Linked DNA regions of Stegostoma tigrinum. The protein of the gene in region 1 purifies or fractionates together with the protein of each later gene. This does not show direct contact. Links are inferred from orthologs where the notes say so. Each region holds a gene or a part of one and is shown in the gene's direction. Other genes may lie near its edges.

Evidence for each region.
Region 2: the proteins of rsu1 (region 1) and parvaa purify together in Homo sapiens (affinity purification with mass spectrometry; 3 studies listed by BioGRID and IntAct, counting the BioPlex papers as one, with this or other methods). This does not show direct contact. The link is inferred for Stegostoma tigrinum from reciprocal best matches to the Homo sapiens genes RSU1 and PARVA.

Annotation. Positions count from the first base shown.
Region 1 is NC_081355.1:114,645,793-114,650,148, reverse strand, and holds the start of rsu1 (ras suppressor protein 1), read left to right. Parts: upstream 1-1,310; 5' UTR 1,311-1,426; coding exon 1,427-1,444; intron 1,445-4,356. UniProt on the Homo sapiens protein: Potentially plays a role in the Ras signal transduction pathway. Capable of suppressing v-Ras transformation in vitro.
Region 2 is NC_081370.1:37,379,928-37,384,283, forward strand, and holds the start of parvaa (parvin, alpha a), read left to right. Parts: upstream 1-1,574; 5' UTR 1,575-2,028; coding exon 2,029-2,161; intron 2,162-4,356. UniProt on the Homo sapiens protein: Plays a role in sarcomere organization and in smooth muscle cell contraction. Required for normal development of the embryonic cardiovascular system, and for normal septation of the heart outflow tract.

The DNA of each region.
Region 1 (4,356 bases):
TCCACACGTGGCCTGACCACCTGCAACAGACCTGAGTCGAACAGCTATCCCGCTCTACTCCAAGCCTCCAGTATACTCCATACTGTATTGTCCCAAGGTAAGTTCCAGGACTGCCCCCACCCTGTGCTGGTCTCTGCCTGGGACTCACTGCCCATGCGCTGCCACTGCCCACACACTGCTCCGGGGCTGCTTCCCCCGCTGCTGCTCTGGGCTTGCAGCCCACTTCTGCCAGTGCTCCAGGATTCACCTTCAGGGCTAAGGAGAGAGAAAAAGACAAAGAAAAAAAAAGAGAAAAATCTACAGGCGGAGCAGAGGAGATCTGGCAGGAGCATCTTACTCTGTTGCCATCTTTTTGATTATTACTTTTACAGAGAAATTTGAGGGAGAAGCAGAATATTGGGTTATTGCTGCTGCAGTTGTGATATACCAACTTACTCATTGCAAGTATAACTTTGAAATATCAATGCAGGCACAAAATAGTGATCATCTCGCCACTTAGCTCATAGCATACAATAGAGTGACTGTCATTTTCTGATTCGCTGAGGATTTGATGAATTCTGGTGAGATAATCATCACTTTTCAATCTCTGCAAAGTTAAAATGAGCAGACCAAGTGCACAATTATTTTAAGGTTTCTCACATTTTGAATTTAGAATAAATTTAAAATTAAAATGTGCTTCATACTTACGCCCTTTTATGCCCTTTTGCATTTAAAAATGTTGAAATGGTTTTGGAGTCAAAATTATCAATATTACTGTAGCATTAAACATTCCAGAAACTTATGTTGTGTCGATGCTGCTATGAATATTGACAGTATTGAACTGACATATGGTTGGAAATGTCAGTAGGAATGAGAAAAAGAAGTTTAAAGTAAAGCAAGAGACTGGAGATATTGTAAACCCTATAAAAATCTACAAGTGAACTGACTTGATATTTCCAGCATTCTCTGCTTTAATACAAGATTGTTTATTTGTTCACTATTTCATTACTGCTAGGCTGCTTTTTGAATGGAATATTTTCACACTTAGAAGGAGATACATCTGTGAATTAGTCAAAGCATTCTGATCAATAATCCCACCACACTGCATCAAAGTAACTGCCTATTCCTCCTTCTGCAGAAAACGTGATTTCTGTGTCCTTGCTGATGTTTGTGCTTAAGCTTTGTAAACATTGGCTTCATTTCTGAAAGATTTCTAATCCTGCATCTGTTCCTGCCAAAAATAACCAAGAGCTAAAATTGGAGCTACTTCAAAATATCAGTAGCCATGAAAAAATTGACCTTCGTATATCAAGGAGGTTTCACTGGCAGACAGAAAGGATTTGCCCTGTTGTTTATTGCTGAGGCAGAAGGGAGGCAGCAAGAAGATTTGGGATATTGTACCTTTTCTTACCTTGGTCTCTGAAACGTAACAGTGAAAAAAACAAACATGTGTTCGCCTAGAAAGGTAAGCAATACTTCTTATCTAAAATATCAAGTATTATTTCAATATTTAACCAGCATAAAACTCTTCAGACACGGTTATAATGTAAGCTAAACACCCTTTGTCAGTTTATACTAATGGTTAAAAGTGCTGAAGTTGAACTCTGACATTTGAGTTACTATTTCAGGTCAAAAATAAAATACAGAATGCACCATCAACCTCTCGAAAGATTTTTTTAAAATAATACCTTATAAACCAGTCACAAGTAGAATTGAAAAAGGAACAAACTTGAACTTGCATAACAAATTTCATAATTTCAGGTTATCGCAAAGCATCCCACAGCCAGTGCAGTATTTTCGCACTGTAGCCAGTGCTGTAATGTAGACAAGTGTAACAAGGTGTCACAAATTGCAGTGTGAATAAATAGTCACAGAGTCATAGAGTCACCCAGCACAGAAACAGACCCTTTGGTCCAACCAGTCCACACTGACCATGTTCTGAAATTAAACTAGTTCCACCTGCCTACGCTTAGCTCATTTCCCTTCAAACTTTGCCCATTCATGAACTTATCCAAATGTCTTTTAACTGCAACTGTACCTGCATCCAACTGTTCCTCTAGCAGTTCATTTCCATGTATGACCCACATTTTATGTTAAAAAATTGCTCCTCGTGTTCTTTCTATATCTTACTTCTCTCAGCTTAAAAATCTGTCCCCTGGTTTAGAATTTCCCCATCCTAGGGAAAGAATATCCTTGTCATTCACCTTATCTATGCCCCTCATGATTTTATAAACTTCAATAAGGTCACCCCTCAGCCTCCTATACTTCAATGAAAAAAGTCCCAATCTTTCCAGTCTATTTTTATGTCTCAACTACTCCATTCCTGGAAACATCCTGGTAAATATTTTCTGAACATTCTCCAAGTTAATAATATCATTCCAATGACATGGAGACCAGAACTGTACTTAGTACACCAGAAGAGGCCGCACCAACATCCCGTACAACCTCAACATTATGTCCCAATTCCTCTACTCAAAGGTCTGAGCAATGAAGGCAAACTGCTAAATGCCTTCTTAACCACCCTATCCACATGTGATGCAAATTTCAAAGAACTATGTACCTGAACCCCTATGTCTCTCCGTTCTACAACTCTACCCAAATGTCTGGACAGTCTGTTTTGGTGGTGTTGTTGTGAGATAATATTGTCTGGAACACCTAGGGAACTCTTGTTCTTCTTCAAACAGTGTTATGCGATTGTTTATTTCTACCTGAAAGGATTTTCAGAGTCTCAGATTAAGATCTTATCTGAAGTACAGAAGCTAAGACAATGCAGCTCACACTATACTAAAGTATCAATCAAGATTATGTATTCAAGTGTGACATAAGGCCATGACATACGATGCAGAATGCTACAACAGAAGCAATGCTGACACTTATATGTACTCATAATTACTAGTTCATGGCACAAAGGGAAATGCAGTCACCATTTTGTCTTATTTATTGCTTGTTCCTTTGGTTTGTCATTTGTGTATAAGATCTTTTCATCCCCTACATCGAGGGTGTATTTTATGATCGAGATAGGATATCGCTTACTGATGCCATCAATACCATTGTGTAACATGTTCCACCTAAAAAGTTTTAAACCAACTTCTCCAGGTGGCCATTGAGTCTAGTGTAAGATGACACTCAGTCCAATGACTTGTCTACTGAATCATGGTTAAGTAGAAAACCTTAGGCTAGAATTTTATGGTTCTCACTTCAGGAGTGGGCTAGTGTGAGTGGGGTTGCTGTACATGTAAAAACTATTTATCTGAGCTACGTAAATTCGACTTGTGCTTTGCAAAGTTGAGAAGATAAGCCCACCCTGACATTTTCAGCCAATGGATGAGGCCACAACTTTTGCAGTAAATCCTGGCTATGGTGTTCTACAAAACACAACAGGGTCATATGGCTGTTTTAGAGCTTTTGATGTCTGATTTCTCCACTCATTCTCCATTCTGTTTTCAACTCCATTCATTTATTTTTCAAACATCTCTTTCAAGAGCTCCAATTAAATTCTACACTACCAAACAGTCACTGTCAGCCTTCTCTTCAGTGGGATCTTATAACCACGCTCCTATCTACAACCTCCCAAATCATTCTTAGTATGTTGTTGCCTCAGACTGCTGGTACGCACTGTGCTGCACTGTTATCAATCCTTCAACAGTAACAGCTCAAGTATGACAGATCCTGTAGTAGATGGTGCATGAACGTTGAAAAACAGAAATGTAGCTTCAACAGTAGTCCATTGATATTCAATTATGTAAACACCAGAAACATGGGATTCTCTCAATCTCTTGATAAAGGTACAGTGGATGACCTGTAAATTTATGCTCATTTATGTTGCTCAGGGAATTAGACCTTGCTGAAGTGACAGAGATAAGATTACCATTGTATGGTGTGATTACTGCACTTTCTTTCTGATTTCTAATTCAGTGCAATCATAATATGTATGTTTCAGATCATTAGATTGAGTGCACTTGACAATTACCAGTACATTCTACTTTTTATGCAAATAATTGTGTTGCTGAGTGCTACAAATTCTGAACACATCATATTGTCGTCTAAAATATCTCTCAGTAATGTGTAAGATCCTTTGCATTGTATTTCACATAAACTGTACTTTCGGGAATCTCGGGAAAGTATGTGTTTTCTGTGGAGCTGAGAGAATGTGGGTGTCGTCATTTGATTTTGGGAATTTAGGAAAGCCAATAAATTAAGTAGTGCACACTTACTACTGTCTTGCTCTATTCCAAAAGTCAATTCCCCAGTTCTCTTCTAAAGTATGTGAATCATTTGACAAATGTATTCCTGTACTATGGCATGGCTGATATCACAGCATTCCCATGATTGGCTGTGATCAGACAATAAACATTGAGTACATTCATGACCATTATA
Region 2 (4,356 bases), on another chromosome or scaffold:
GGAGTTCTTTCCATTTCTTTCCCCCCACCCAGTATGCTGTTGTCAACTAACCTTCTAAAACCAGATGATCTGGCCATTACTGTATTTTTGTGTGTGGGGTCTTGCTTGTGCAATATGGCTGCTGTGCTTCAGTAGTTCTTCAAAACTTGACAAGTACTTAACTTGTTGGGTAGTGTTTTGGAACATTGGAAATTGTGAAAAGTGACAAATGCAAGTTGTTCTTTCACATTGCTTTCAATCACAATTGCTACAGTGAACGTGGACACTGCCCAGTCCATTATGTCTGCATCAACTCTCCAAAACAGCATTGTGACTTAATGCCATTTTAAAACATTGCACATTGTTTCTATTCTTCTAATGCTCTTTTGAATGCCTTGCTTGAACGTCACTCCTTTGCACTTTCAGGCTCTGCATTCCAGGTTCATCTTTCTCACCATAGCTTAAAGTTCCAAACCTTTTTGAATCTTCCACGCAGTTTTTAATCCTTAATGTCTTTTGCTTGGTACACCTGCTCTTCCTGTTTAATGTCTCGATGCCTTTTCTCTCTGATTACACCCTGGTCCTTGCCTACCTCCTTCTGGGCTTCCCCCTCATGTCAGCGGATCGAGCATATTGTTTCTGGATTCTGCTTCATGGCTCAACATCAAATTTTGTTTTATTGTCTTAATTCTTCTCTTGACCCTGTTCCACATTCCATCCTCTCTCTCCAGATCGCAGCCTCTGTTTATTTACTGATTTGAGATCCTTTTGTTTGAGGTTTACTGAGATGTTTCCTCAAAAAATTATGGCTTTCACAATCTCTCGTGTGGTTTTAGCTGTGGTGCAGCAAGTCCTGACTGAGTCAGAATGTCATGAATTCAAGTCCCACTCTAGATGCTTCAGCACAATGACCAGCCTGATATAACTGTGCAGTTATGCGGTGAAGTGATGGCCTTATAGTATTGTTGCTGGACTGTTAATCCAGTGAGCCAGGTATGTTCTGGGAACTTGGTTTCAAATTCTGCCACAGCAGATGGTGGAATTTGAATTCAACTGAAACAAAGCTAGAATTAAAGGTCTTTTGACCATGAAACAATTATTGGGGTGGGGGGTGAAATAAACCATCTGGTTGATGGTTATCCTTCCCCAAAGGATAATTAATCTACTGTTGATTGCAGGGGGAAAACCCATCTGGTTCACTAATTCCTTTTTGGGAAGGAAACCCCTTTTTACCTACATGGGGCTCCAGACCCACACCAATGTGGTTGACTCTTAACTGACCTCTGGGAATTGGCATTAAGAAAATGTACTAAGGAGCACTGAACTGTCTACACTTCAAAACTTTAGCTGTCAAGCTCTTTGAGCTATTATGAAGGTTACTCTCGAAATCCAAACCTTTCTTTCCAAATGCTTGCCCACCAATCAACTATCGTCACGTCGCGGGCTCCCACAAACAGCAGCCAGTGACCGAGATGAAATGGTTTGATGTTCGCTGATGAGGGGGTAAACATTGGCCCTAGGTGAATGAAAACTGTAACCCAGCGACAATACTGCGGCTTCCTAACTGCTGCCTCGCCGAGCACATGTTGCTAATGACAAAACCCCCTTCACTTTGGTTTTCGAAGCTGCTGCCTACCACATTTTCGTTTGAAAATAAAAGCTCCCCTTTGTTGATGCAGGGCTTTGAGATAAAATCTGCTTTAGCAACTTTTGTTAGGGGAGTGTGTCAATTGTAATGACAGAAATGGCGATGATATGACTATTTGTTTTTGATTTTTGTTCTTTCGGGCCAGTCTGAGAAGAAGCTGGGCTGAGAGTTTCACGCAGAGCAGAGATTTCAGTGGGAGTGGTAGGAGAGACACAGGCGCAGTCTCGCCCTGCAGCGTTGTGTTTAGATTCTCGCTGCCTCATAGCCCTGGAATTCAGGACTCGCCGAGAATTCTGTTTCCGTCCAGGGTTTTTTTTATCCCCCCTTTCCTCTCTCTCGGCTAAAGGTGTAGCGCGTACCCATCAGTCTGCACAAACATTCGTCCCCGCTGATCCGGACAAATGGCCAGTTCACCCCAGAAATCCCCATCCATCCCGAAGTCCCCCGTCCCGAAATCCCCCGGCTCCAGGAAAGAGGATTCCTTCCTGGGTAAACTTGGAGGAACTTTAGCCAGAAGAAAAAAGGCCAAAGAAGGTAATTCTTTCTTCTTTGTTTTTAGAAAAAAAACTTGTTTCATGTAAATTGTTCACGAACGTCCTGAAAATGTTGCCTATTTACTTGAAAGAGAAGTTTGCAACAAGTTTCGAAAACTTTTGCAATTTCAGCTGAAAGTGTTCAACTTGGTTTTGCTTTGTGGCTAACGTAACAGCTTCTAAGGCTGCAATGTGAGTGATTTACTCCCTTCATTAAATACTTCATTGTTTTGCAGCCTAAAAGTGGATTTTTGTTTTGTGGAGTTCACAGTTAAGTTCTGGGCTGGGTGTAGCTGGGCGTCCTGTGGAATGTTTTCCGGTTCAGACTCATTTGGTTGGCAATATAAGTTCTGCGGTTGAACTCGAAAGCATTTTCCGAACACCACCCACCCCCCTCTCGTTATCTCTCTGTGCATTGCACAGTTATTGATCAAACACCAAGGTTAAGACCGCAACTCAGGCGGGAGCTGCTTATCTGCACCTTACAGGGGGCAGGTATGCAGGAGTAAGCTGGATTCCTGTCTGCAGGGAAACCACGCCATGTAACAAAACCAAACCCTAGAGCAATAGAATTTCCACTGGCAATATTACACAGCTGTTGTTATCGTGAATGAAAGAATAATGTGTATTTTTTAAATTTTGAATCTTGACTATCTACATTTGTTGTCGGAAATTTAAAAGACAGTACAGGAAAGCCATTCAACCCCTTTTAAGGCTGTTGAAATCATGTTACAACTGCACAAGACATTGGTAGGGCTACATTTGGAGTACTGCCTACAGTTCTGGTCGCCCTGCTGGAAAGGGTGCAAGCATTTTTTTAAAAGGATGTGACCGATACGGAAGGTTTGACTTACAAGGAGAGGCTGAGTAGGCTGGCTCTGTTTTCTGAGCACCCTTAGAGGCTGAGGGGTGACCTTGTAGAGGTTCATAAAATCACGAGAGGCCTAGATAAGGTGAATAGCCGAGGTCTTTATCCCCAGGTTAGGGGGGGAAAATTAATAGGGACCAGGGGGGCAGCTTTTTCCACACAGGGGGTAGTGCATATATGGAATGAGCTGCTAGAGGAAGTGGTAGAGATGGGTACAATTAGAACATTCAAAAAACATTTGAACAGCTATGTGCATAGGAAAGATTTAGAGGCATACAAGCCAAACAGGGGCAAATGGGACTAGTTCAATTCAGGAAACCTCATCAGCATGGCTGAGTTGGGCCAAAGGGCCTGTTTCAAGGCTGTATGAGCCTATGATTCTAATTGGAGTATGGCTGATCCCACATGCTTAAGTGGAGAAGACTTGTGTGTTAAGTAGTGGTAACTTGAGCCAAATGACTGCTTTTTGCCCTGTGTACTTGCTGTAATTCTTCAATTCCATTAGTCTGTCTTCCTGTCCATGTTCTACCTTTGTGTGAGTTCTCTTCTGCTCAGGATTTGGGTATACTTGACTTTGTACTGAATCCATACAGACCAGGGTGCACAGCATGATCTGCTGTGCCCACTGTTTACACGGCTGGTATGTTAATTGGCACTTCAAGCGGTCGTGCCTCGGCTCAAAAATTCAACAAGTAGAAATATAGTTGGGCTGCGCTGAGAGCGTGTTTCTCACAATACTGTTGTTGTTGTTTGACTGCTGCACAAGTTATGCAAGACCTTTATGAAACCCTGCTTGGGCCCATCCTGGGCTCAATCCGTAATTGTTTGAGAGAGGTAAGTGGTTATAATTTTGGGGGGTCACCACTCTGCATCAAACATGGCTGAACAGAAACCTAACCCACTCTTTACTGCCTACATTTGATTACCAACCTACATGACCATGTCACAAATGGTGTTTCAATGGTCAACAAGGTCAATGGTGGATGTTAACTCTGAGCTTATGGCTCAGACAGATATCACCAACTGACATATAACGCCCTGTCCTCAGCTGGTGTATTGTGCCCAGTTCTGGAAAATGATGTCCAAGCCGTTGAGAAGATGCAAAGAAGATTTTATGGAAATAATGCAAGTGATGAGATATTTGTTTTCATCTTTAAGATAGAGGTCTGGAGAGTAGGTGAACAGGAGACTTGGTAGAGATTTTCAAAATCAGGAATTTGATAGGGTGCATTTCCTCTTGTAGGAGGGTCAGTAGCTTGGGGACACAAAAACATTAAACATGGTTCAGAGATAATAGGAACTCCAGATGCTGGAGAATCCGCGATAAC